Macaca fascicularis: one gene and its partner. Each later gene encodes a partner of the first gene's protein in a complex. Links are inferred from orthologs where the notes say so. Each region holds a gene or a part of one and is shown in the gene's direction. Other genes may lie near its edges. The genes, in order: FARSB and FARSA.

Region 1 (4,395 bases):
GATTAGTAGTTAGAGTGTCCTACATCTGGCTCAGCTTTTGTCTCCTCATGTGAAGGACCTTGGAAGAAGCCCTCACTCACTGTACAGTAGAAAGGATTAGGGCAAGTCTCCCCCTGGAAATGCCAGGTTGTGCCTTAGTTTCATTACTGGTAAAACAGGGATAATGGTACCTACCTTGATATATTAGTTTCCCTTGGCTGCTGAAACAAATTACCACAAACTTGCTGACTTAAACCAAAAATTTATGCTCTCATAGTTCTGGAGGCCAGAAACCCAAAATCAGTTTCACTGGGCCCAAACCAGCATGTATTACACGGCTGCCCCATAGGCTGGGCGTGAATCTGTCCTTGTCTCTGTTTATTTCAGGGGTACATGTGCAGGATGTGAAGGTTTGTTACATAGGTAAACGTATGCCATGGTGGTTTGCTGCACAGATCATCCCATCACCTAAGTATTAAGCCCAGCATCTATTAGCTATTTTTGATGCTCCCCACTCCTCCACCCCCTCACTCCCAGAGTGTGCTTGTCTCTTTGTTTCTGGTGGCTGCTGGCATCCTTGGGTTGTGGCTGCCACTGTGGCTACATCGTCTCTCTCTACCTCCCTTTTATGTTTTTATGAGGATACTGTGATTCCATTCAGGGTCCGTCTTTAGAATCCAGGATAATAATCTTTATCTCAAAATCCTTAATCTGCAAAGGCGCTGTTTCTATATAAAGTTACATTTAGAGGTTGCAGGGATTAGGGTCTGATACTACTGGGGGCCGTTATTCAGCCTACTACACTCAGGGTCGTTTTAAGGAGGAAGGCTGAGCACAGCCCACTGACAGCAGAGAGCACTGAGCAAATAGACTAAAAAGGAGGTCTCTTACAAAGACTCCCTTATAGGGCTGCCGTAAAGTTCAAAAGAAACACAGGTATATCACTTATACGAGTATAGGAGAGATTAAAGAATGAAGTAAAAACTGAGGTCTGTTAACAGCCCCTCTTCCGCCGCCAGGAGTTGCACACCTTTCTCTGCAGGAAGCCTTGAACCGTCTCCTCTCGCCTTTCCACCACCTCCAGGCAAGATTTCCCACGTGGAGGCCCCGCCCCCTCCCTGACGCGCCCCTCTCTCCGCCCTGCCTTTAGCGCGCTGGAAGCATCCGGGACTTCAGGGACAGTACGTTACAATGCCTGACAAATCCTAGCCAGTGCTATCAAATTATATGTCTCTTACAGGTTTTTAAGCTATTAGTCCCATAAAGATACATTTAGCCAGCGAGGTAATGGCAAGATGAGTGTTTTTAGGTTAAAATAAGAACTGGAACTGTTGGCAGCAGAATGGCGATATTCAAGACAGCTCGCACAAGAAGAGGCGGGTCCTACGCGCCTCGCTAGGGAATCCCGGGTCAGCTCGCCGCGCAGGCGCAGTGAGTTCGACTCGCCATGCCGACTGTCAGCGTGAAGCGTGATCTGCTCTTCCAAGCCCTGGGCCGTACCTACAGTGAGTGCCGGCCCTATACATTGGGCCCTACGCCTCTTCTTGGAGGCTGGGCCTCCCTCCTAAAGGGCATTGTGGTGACATTCATGTCTTCCTGAAGGTTTTGGCCCCGGGAGGCCGGGGTTTATACTGGAGGGCCGATGATGGTGGCGGTCCGACTGGGCTGTGGTAGCCTCGGAACCGGCATCGCAGGGGTGCCACTGCTCGTGCCCGGCTCGCCGTGTCATTCATTCAGCGATCTGCCATCGAGTGCCTACAGCGTGCCTGGCACCGACATCCAAGCCAGGGGATAGAACAGGAAGGAAACCCGGGGTTGTATCCCGAGCGTAGCCAGTTCATTGCAATAAGAGCGCTGTGGGAACTCAGTTTATAAAGGGGTAGGAGGAGAGAGTTGTGCAGCGGGATGGAGAAAGGCATTCCATCTGTCTTCGTCTTATTAATGTTTCCTGAGCGCCTGTTATGTGTCAGGCACTGTTCGAAGAGCTTAGGACTAGGGCTGTGCACATGACACGTCAGGTCCACGTTCTGTCTGATGGAGGCAGACAATTAACCAGCACATTAATAAAATGATTTCGGATAATGTTAAATGCCATCAAGGAAAGAAGAGGTGTTGTGCCAAGAACAACTTTAGATAGGGTGGTAACATTTGATCTGAGACCTGGATGAGGAGTATTCAGTGGGCGTAGACTTCATTCTACATTTCATCTTTTATTCAGTTCTAAAAACACAACCATTGCAAAAAGGAGGGAGATATTAAGTGCAGTTATCAGTTACCTCACAGCCGTAGCAGGTGCCCCACCCTTTTTGTTTTTTTTTGAGAAGGAGTTTCGGTCTGTCGCCCAGGCTGGAGTGCAGTGGCACTATCTCGGCTGACTGCAACCTCCGCCACCCGGTTCAAGCAATTCTCTGCCTCAGCTTCCCGAGTAGCTGGGATTACAGGCGCCTGCCATCACGCCCGGCTGATTTTTTTTTTGTATTTTTAGAGAGACCGGGTTTCACCATCTTGGCCAGGCTGGTCTTGAACTCCTGACCTCGTGATCCGCCAGCCGCGGCCTCCCAAAATGCTGAGATTACAGGCGTGAGCCACCGCACGCGGCCCCCACCCCATAATTTTTAGCTTGTATAAAGACTGTACCAACTGGTTTGTGAGAGCTGTTTTTTTCTTTTTAGCGCTCAGTGTGATAACAAAGGCCTAACTGGTTTAATGACAGCCACCGCTTTCCAAAATAAGATATTACTGCTACTGTGAAAATAAAACTGGCTTTTAAAAATCTTTCCTAAGCGTGTACTTTTAGATAGTACCTATTCTCAATGTGATATTCTTCGTAAGTTCTGCCATAAGTCCCTGAAAGTAAAGGAAATACAAGGGTATTGTATTACTCTTACCCTTTGTACTTGTCTCTAATCGCCTAATCGCTTTATTTTATAATGAGCTTATTTATATTTCTTACCTGACCTTCTAAACCATATTCTCACTAATGGGATGTGGTACAGGTTGCTAATTCCTGATCCAAAATGCTTGAGACCAGAAGCGTCTTGGATTTTGGATTTGGGGATATTTGCATGTACATAATGAGATATTTTGGGGGTGGGACCCAAGTCTAAACATGAAATTGATTTATATTTCATATGCACCTTATATGCATAGCCTGAAGTTAATTTTATGGAATACTTTAAATACTTTTTTTTGCATGAAACAAGGTTTTGACTGTGTTTTTGACAAGTCACATGGAGTCAGGTGTGGAATTTTCCACTTGTGGCATCCTGTCTACACTTTAAGGTTTTGGGTTTTGGAGCATGTCAGATTTCAGATTTTTGAATTAGGAATGCTCTATCTGTATACCTGAATTGCCTAAGATGGTAGGTGGCAAATATTTGTTCAAAACATCTACAATCCGTTCCCATCCCAGTCTCCATTTCTAGGGAGGTAAGAAATAATCCAGATTTTTAAAAATGGTGAGATTTATAACCTATTTACTGTCATCTGATGTTTCAACATATTCTGTCCCCTTCCCTTTTTTTTTTTCATATTGTCAGTGATCAATTAAGATTGATTTTTTTCACAAATATGTGTTTGTTAGGTACTGAATCTTTTAAGGGCCAGGTTCATGGCTGATGCTTGTAATCACAGCACTTTGGGAGGACGAGGTGGGCAGACTGCTTGAGCTCAGGAGTTGGAGACCAGACTGGGCAACATGGCAAAACCCTGTCTCTACAAAAAGTAGCTGGGTGTGGTGGTGTGTACCTGTAGTCCCAGCTACTCGGGAGCCTGTGGCCGGAGGATCACTTGAACCAAGTAGGTCAAGGCTGTTGTGAGTGGTGATAAAGCCACTGCATTCCAGCCCCGGCCACAAAGTGAGACCCTGTCTCAGAAAAAAAAAAAAAAAAATTGGTCAAGAGAATTGATGTTATTTTTGAGATGTACTTTCGAGAGGTCAGAAATGATACTCCTCATTAGTTTACGTTTATTGTGTTCTTTCTTGAAACTGTTAACTGGGTTGAGGTCAGAACTGGAAAAGCATGTTCAGCAAAGCATGTGGTTTCCAAGTAGTATGGATACATCTTGTTTCTTACCTTTTTTTTTTTCCCCAGTCTTCCTCTTTTTTTCTTGTTTTTCACACTTTTAAAATCCACGTTCTCTCTCTTTAGTCCCTCCAAGGGTTGCTTTCTATTTGAAATTTCATTGTTTCTACCAGTCCCCACCTTCCTTTTTACCTCCTCTTTGCTTAGCAAGGATATTTCTCTTTCAAGCTGTTTGCCATTTTGGTTGTTTTGCTGATCTGACTCCTTTGGAGCAGGTTTGTCTCCTTAGTCTACCTTTTCTTTTTTTTTTTTTTTTTTGAGACGGAGTCTCACTCTGTCCCCCTTGCTGGAGTGCAGTGGCCAGATCTCAGCTCACTGCAAGCTCCGCCTC
Region 2 (4,471 bases), on another chromosome or scaffold:
AAAATATTTTATTAGTCATCTTTTTTTTTTTCTTAAGAGTCAGGGTCTGGCTGGCTGGGCACGGTGGGTCATGCCTGTAATGCCAGCACTTTGGGAGACCGACGCAGGAGGATAACCTGAGCCTAGGAGTTTGAGACCAGCCTGGACAACATGGCAAAAACCCATCTTTACAAAAAAAAAAAAAAAAAAAGACAAAAAAGAAAAAGCTGGGTGTAGTGACACGCACCTGTAGTTCCAGCTACTCAGGAGCCTAAGGTTGGAGGATCATTAGAGCCTGGGAAGTCAAAGCTGCAGTAAGCCATAATTGCGCCACTGCACTCCAGCATAGGTGACAGAGCAAGACCCTGTCTCAAAAAAGAAAGATGTTGGCCGGGCACGGTGGCTCAAGCCTGTAATCCCAGCACTTTGGGAGGCCGAGACGGGCGGATCACGAGGTCAGGAGATCGAGACCATCCTGGCTAACACGGTGAAACCCCGTCTCTACTAAAAAAATACAAAAAACTAGCCGGGCGAGGTGGCGGGCGCCTGTAGTCCCAGCTACTCGGGAGGCTGAGGCAGGAGAATGGCGTGAACCCGGGAGGCGGAGCTTGCAGTGAGCTGAGATCCGGCCACTGCACTCCAGCCCAGGCGACAGAGGGAGACTCCGTCTCAAAACAAAACAAAACAAAAAACCCAAAAAAAACCAGAAAGATGTTTTGCACTATATTTCTATAGGACAGTGCTAATCTAGGCCATGCAGTATTTGCACCGACGTTGCTCTCAGTGCACAGGGGTGGGGGATCTGGAAGGTTTATAATTTATGGCTTAATTTCCACCAACTCTCTGTAGAACCTTGGGCAAGTCATACCACCTTCTGAGCCTCAGTTTTCTCATCTGTGTAATGCGGTTATATCAGTATCTACATCATAAAGTTTTGGGGAGAAATGAAATTCTACACGTGAAGTACTTAGTTCTGGGCTAAGTACTACCACATAGGAGGTAGTCCACACAGGTTAGGTGCCACCTTGACTTACTAGATGAATCCTTTTCCCCTCTATAAAAAGGGATGGTACCTACCCAGCCTTCCTTTGAAATTTTAAAAGTAGCTGACATCGCCAAAATGACCATCTCTGGAGCCCACCACCCACCGCCTCTCGTAGGGCAAGAGAGAATACCAGAAGGGCAGACATTTCTGTAACCCAGAGAGGGTTAAGTCCAAGGTCACACAGCCCGCTCGAAGTGAGGCTAGATAAAGCTCAAAACAGGGCGGTGCTTCTGACCTTGAGATAATCGATTTTCCTCTCTGGTCAACCAGACGCCACTGATGGAGCCAGGGTGGAGGTGGGAACTGAGTGCCGTGCACCTTCTGAGGCTCCGTCGCCACACTCAAGATGACGACACATTGAGCCCTGCTCTGCGGTTAGACACATTCAAGATGGCGATGCACAGCCCGGATTCCGGTTCCGGTGGCTCAGGCCCCGGCCAGGACACGCTGAGCACACTGGAAGCAGCCATGGCGGATGGTCCGGTGGCGGAACTGCTGCTCCGGCGGCTGGAGGCGTCCGATGGCGGCCTGGACAGCGCCGAGCTGGCGGCTGAGCTGGGCATGGAGCACCAAGCGGTGGTGGGCGCCGTGAAGAGCCTTCAGGCACTGGGCGAGGTGAGCCGGGCCCGTGATGCCGGGCCGCCTTGCCCTTGCACCTACGGTCCCCTTGCCAGGAGGGCTCTACGTCCAGACCAAATTCCCTCAGGCCTAGTTTGGGGTAGCTGTATATGTGTCCACCCCGGGATGCGCGGACGGGAAGTGGGACGAGTGAGGGCCCAGATGTTCCTCATGCAATAAACGTTTATTGAGGCGCGGTCAGCGTGGGTAGGGGGAACGATAATGGACGAGGAGGACGCGGTTGCTGCCCTCACGCAGGTTGCGACCTTATAGGAAGGTGCTTCAAGAACTAGAGTGATGGGGGGAACACAGGGGACCCAGCTGTGACAGCTGACCCAGGCTTGGGGGTCAGGGAGAGCGGCCTGGTGCAGGTGACGGCTGAGTCGGTTCTCTGTAGAGGAAAGTGATACCACTTTAGAGATCAGTGGCCGGGATATTCGGGGATGGCAGGCGGCGAGGGAGACCAGCATAGCTGTAATTGCAAGGCCTCTTAGGTCTTTACCTCACGAGGGAACTGGGGAGCGATAGCAGGAGCTAGAGCCCGGTCAGATGAGTGTGCTATCCACATCACCTTTGGGAATAACTGGCAGGGACAGGACAGGAGGTGAAGGGATGAAAGCAGAAGCTGGCACTTCCCCAAGCTGGATGGCATGATGTCTGGCTATGGGAAGGCAGCTTGGGGGAGGTGGGGAAGGCATGGGATTCAGGACAAGGCAGGGGGCACACCGATGAAGTCCAGCCTTCTGACTTGGGCAAGTAGACAGTGACAGAGTCACAGGAGGAGGATGCTGAGGGGCCCGTGGGCCACCCAGAAGGCTAGATCCATGAGGCCAGGATCTGGGCTGTTTATCCTTAGAGCTCACGTTCTGCGCCCCACTTTGGTCTCAGCTTGTTTGTCCAATTCATTCCATAATCCTGGCTGATGGCCATGTTATTCCCATTTTGCAGATGTGACAACCGATGGTCAGTAACATAATCAGTGTGAATAGAAGAGGCCGATGAACCCAGATTTGAAATTAGGCACTCAGGCTGCAGAGCCCATAGTCCTCAATGCAGAGGCAGCTGTGTTCTGTTGGGTGACAGTGCTTTGATCAATATGATTTGACATTTGTATACGTCACAGAGAGTTAAATAATATAAGGAGGTAAGGTTAAATCTAATGACAGTAATAGCCATAAAAATAATTATAGTAGTTAGAATTTATGCCGGGTGCAGTGGCTGACGCCTGTAATCCCAGCACTTTGGGAGGCCGAGGCGGGTGGATCATGAGTTCAGGAGTTCAAGACCAGCCTGGCCAAGATGGTGAAACACCGTCTCTGCTAAAAATACAAAAAATTTAGCCAGGCGTGGTGGTGGGCGCCTGTAATCCCAGCTACTTGGGAGGCTGAGGCAGATAATTGTTTGAACCTGGGAGGTGGAGGTTGCAGTGAGCCAAGATTGCACAACTGCACTCCAGCCTGGGCGACAGAGCGAGACTCCATCTCAAAAAAAAAAAAAATTTATGCAGCAGTTGTCACATGGTAGGCACTATATATTTTTTCTGAGTATTAATTTAGCTACTCCTTAAAATCATCTGAGGTAGAACCCATCACACCTTTCTCTTATGGATGAGAAGAGTTGCTCAGAGGTTAAGCAACTTTCCCGAGGTCACACAGGAAATGAAGGGCAGAGGTAGGATTAGAACGAAGTGGGAGCCAGGTCCTGTGCACTCTATTTATCCTTTTTGTCCTTTTCTTCGTGACTCTGGACCTGGAACCTCAGTTTTTGTTTGTAATGTGTACCTCCAGGGCCCTTGTCTGACATTCTGGGCACTGACATGTGAACATTTAAACATGGAGACAGGTTGAGCGTGGTGGCTCATGCCCGTAATGCCAGCACTTTGGGAGGCTGAGAAAGGAGAATCACTTGCGACTAGGAGTTTGAGACCAGCCTGGACAACATAACAACACCCTGTCTTTAAAAAGTAATTTAAAGGGGCCGGGCGCGGTGGCTCAAGCCTGTAATCCCAGCACTTTGGGAGGCCGAGATGGGCGGATCACGAGGTCAGAAGATCGAGACCATCCTGGCTAACACGGTGAAACCCCGTCTCTACTAAAAAATACAAAAAACTAGCTGGGCGAGGTGGTGGGCGCCTGTAGTCCCAGCTACTCGGGAGGCTGAGGCAGGAGAATGGCGTGAACCCGAGAGGCGGAGCTTGCAGTGAGCTGAGATCCAGCCACTGCACTCCAGCCTGGGCGACAGAGCAAGACTCCGTCTCAAAAAAAAAAAAAAAGTAATTTAAAGGGCTGGGTGCAATGGCTCACGCCTGTAATCCCAACACTTTGGGAGGCCAAGCTGGCCGATTACGAGGTCAGGAATTTGAGATCAGCCTGGCCAACATGGCAAAACCCCATCTCTACTGAAAATACAAAAATTAGCAGAGCATGGTGGCACACACCTGCAATCCCAGCTACTTGGGAGGCTGAGGCAGATAACTGTTTGAACCTGGGAGGCTGAGTTTGCAGTGAGCCGAGATCGCATCACTGCATTCCAGCCTGGGCGACAAAGTGAGACTCCATCTCAAAAAAAAAAAAAAAAAAAAGAAGGGTAATTTAAAAATTAACCAGGTGTGGTGGCACGTGCCTGTAGTCCCAGCTACTCAGGAGGCTGAGGCGGAAGGATCACTTGAGTCCAAGAGTTCAAGGCTATAGTGAGCTATGATCACACAACTGTACCCCAGCCTAGTAACAGGGTTAGGCCCCCTCTCAGTGAAAACAAAAACAAAGAAAAAAATGTGAAGGTGAATCAGTTCACCTAATTTTTCACCTTAAAATCTGTCACAGGTTCAAA

Evidence for each region.
Region 2: the proteins of FARSB (region 1) and FARSA are in contact, whole or in part, in a crystal structure (PDB 3L4G), measured with the Homo sapiens proteins. The link is inferred for Macaca fascicularis from reciprocal best matches to the Homo sapiens genes FARSB and FARSA. Residues at the interface, in NP_005678.3 of Homo sapiens: Glu26, Phe29, Gly32, Leu33, Pro68, Ala69, Asn70, Ile150, Arg152, Asp259, Thr261, Lys262, Arg305, Lys316, Lys317, Val318, Gly319, Ile359, His360, Cys362, Asp363, Glu366, Ala369, Ile370, Tyr374, Asn375, Ile377, Gln378, Met379, Thr380; in NP_004452.1 of Homo sapiens: Ser221, Gly222, His223, Leu224, His225, Leu227, Leu228, Arg231, Ser232, Arg235, Leu239, Gly242, Phe243, Thr244, Glu245, Pro247, Asp249, Asn250, Phe251, Ile252, Glu253, Ser254, Phe263, Gln266, Gln267, Phe277, Phe278, Leu279, Arg280, Asp281.

The regions. Positions count from the first base shown.
Region 1 is NC_088386.1:118,591,002-118,595,396, reverse strand, and holds the start of FARSB (phenylalanine--tRNA ligase beta subunit), read left to right. Parts: upstream 1-1,407; 5' UTR 1,408-1,426; coding exon 1,427-1,484; intron 1,485-4,395.
Region 2 is NC_088393.1:13,328,152-13,332,622, reverse strand, and holds the start of FARSA (phenylalanine--tRNA ligase alpha subunit), read left to right. Parts: upstream 1-1,477; 5' UTR 1,478-1,492; coding exon 1,493-1,639; intron 1,640-4,471.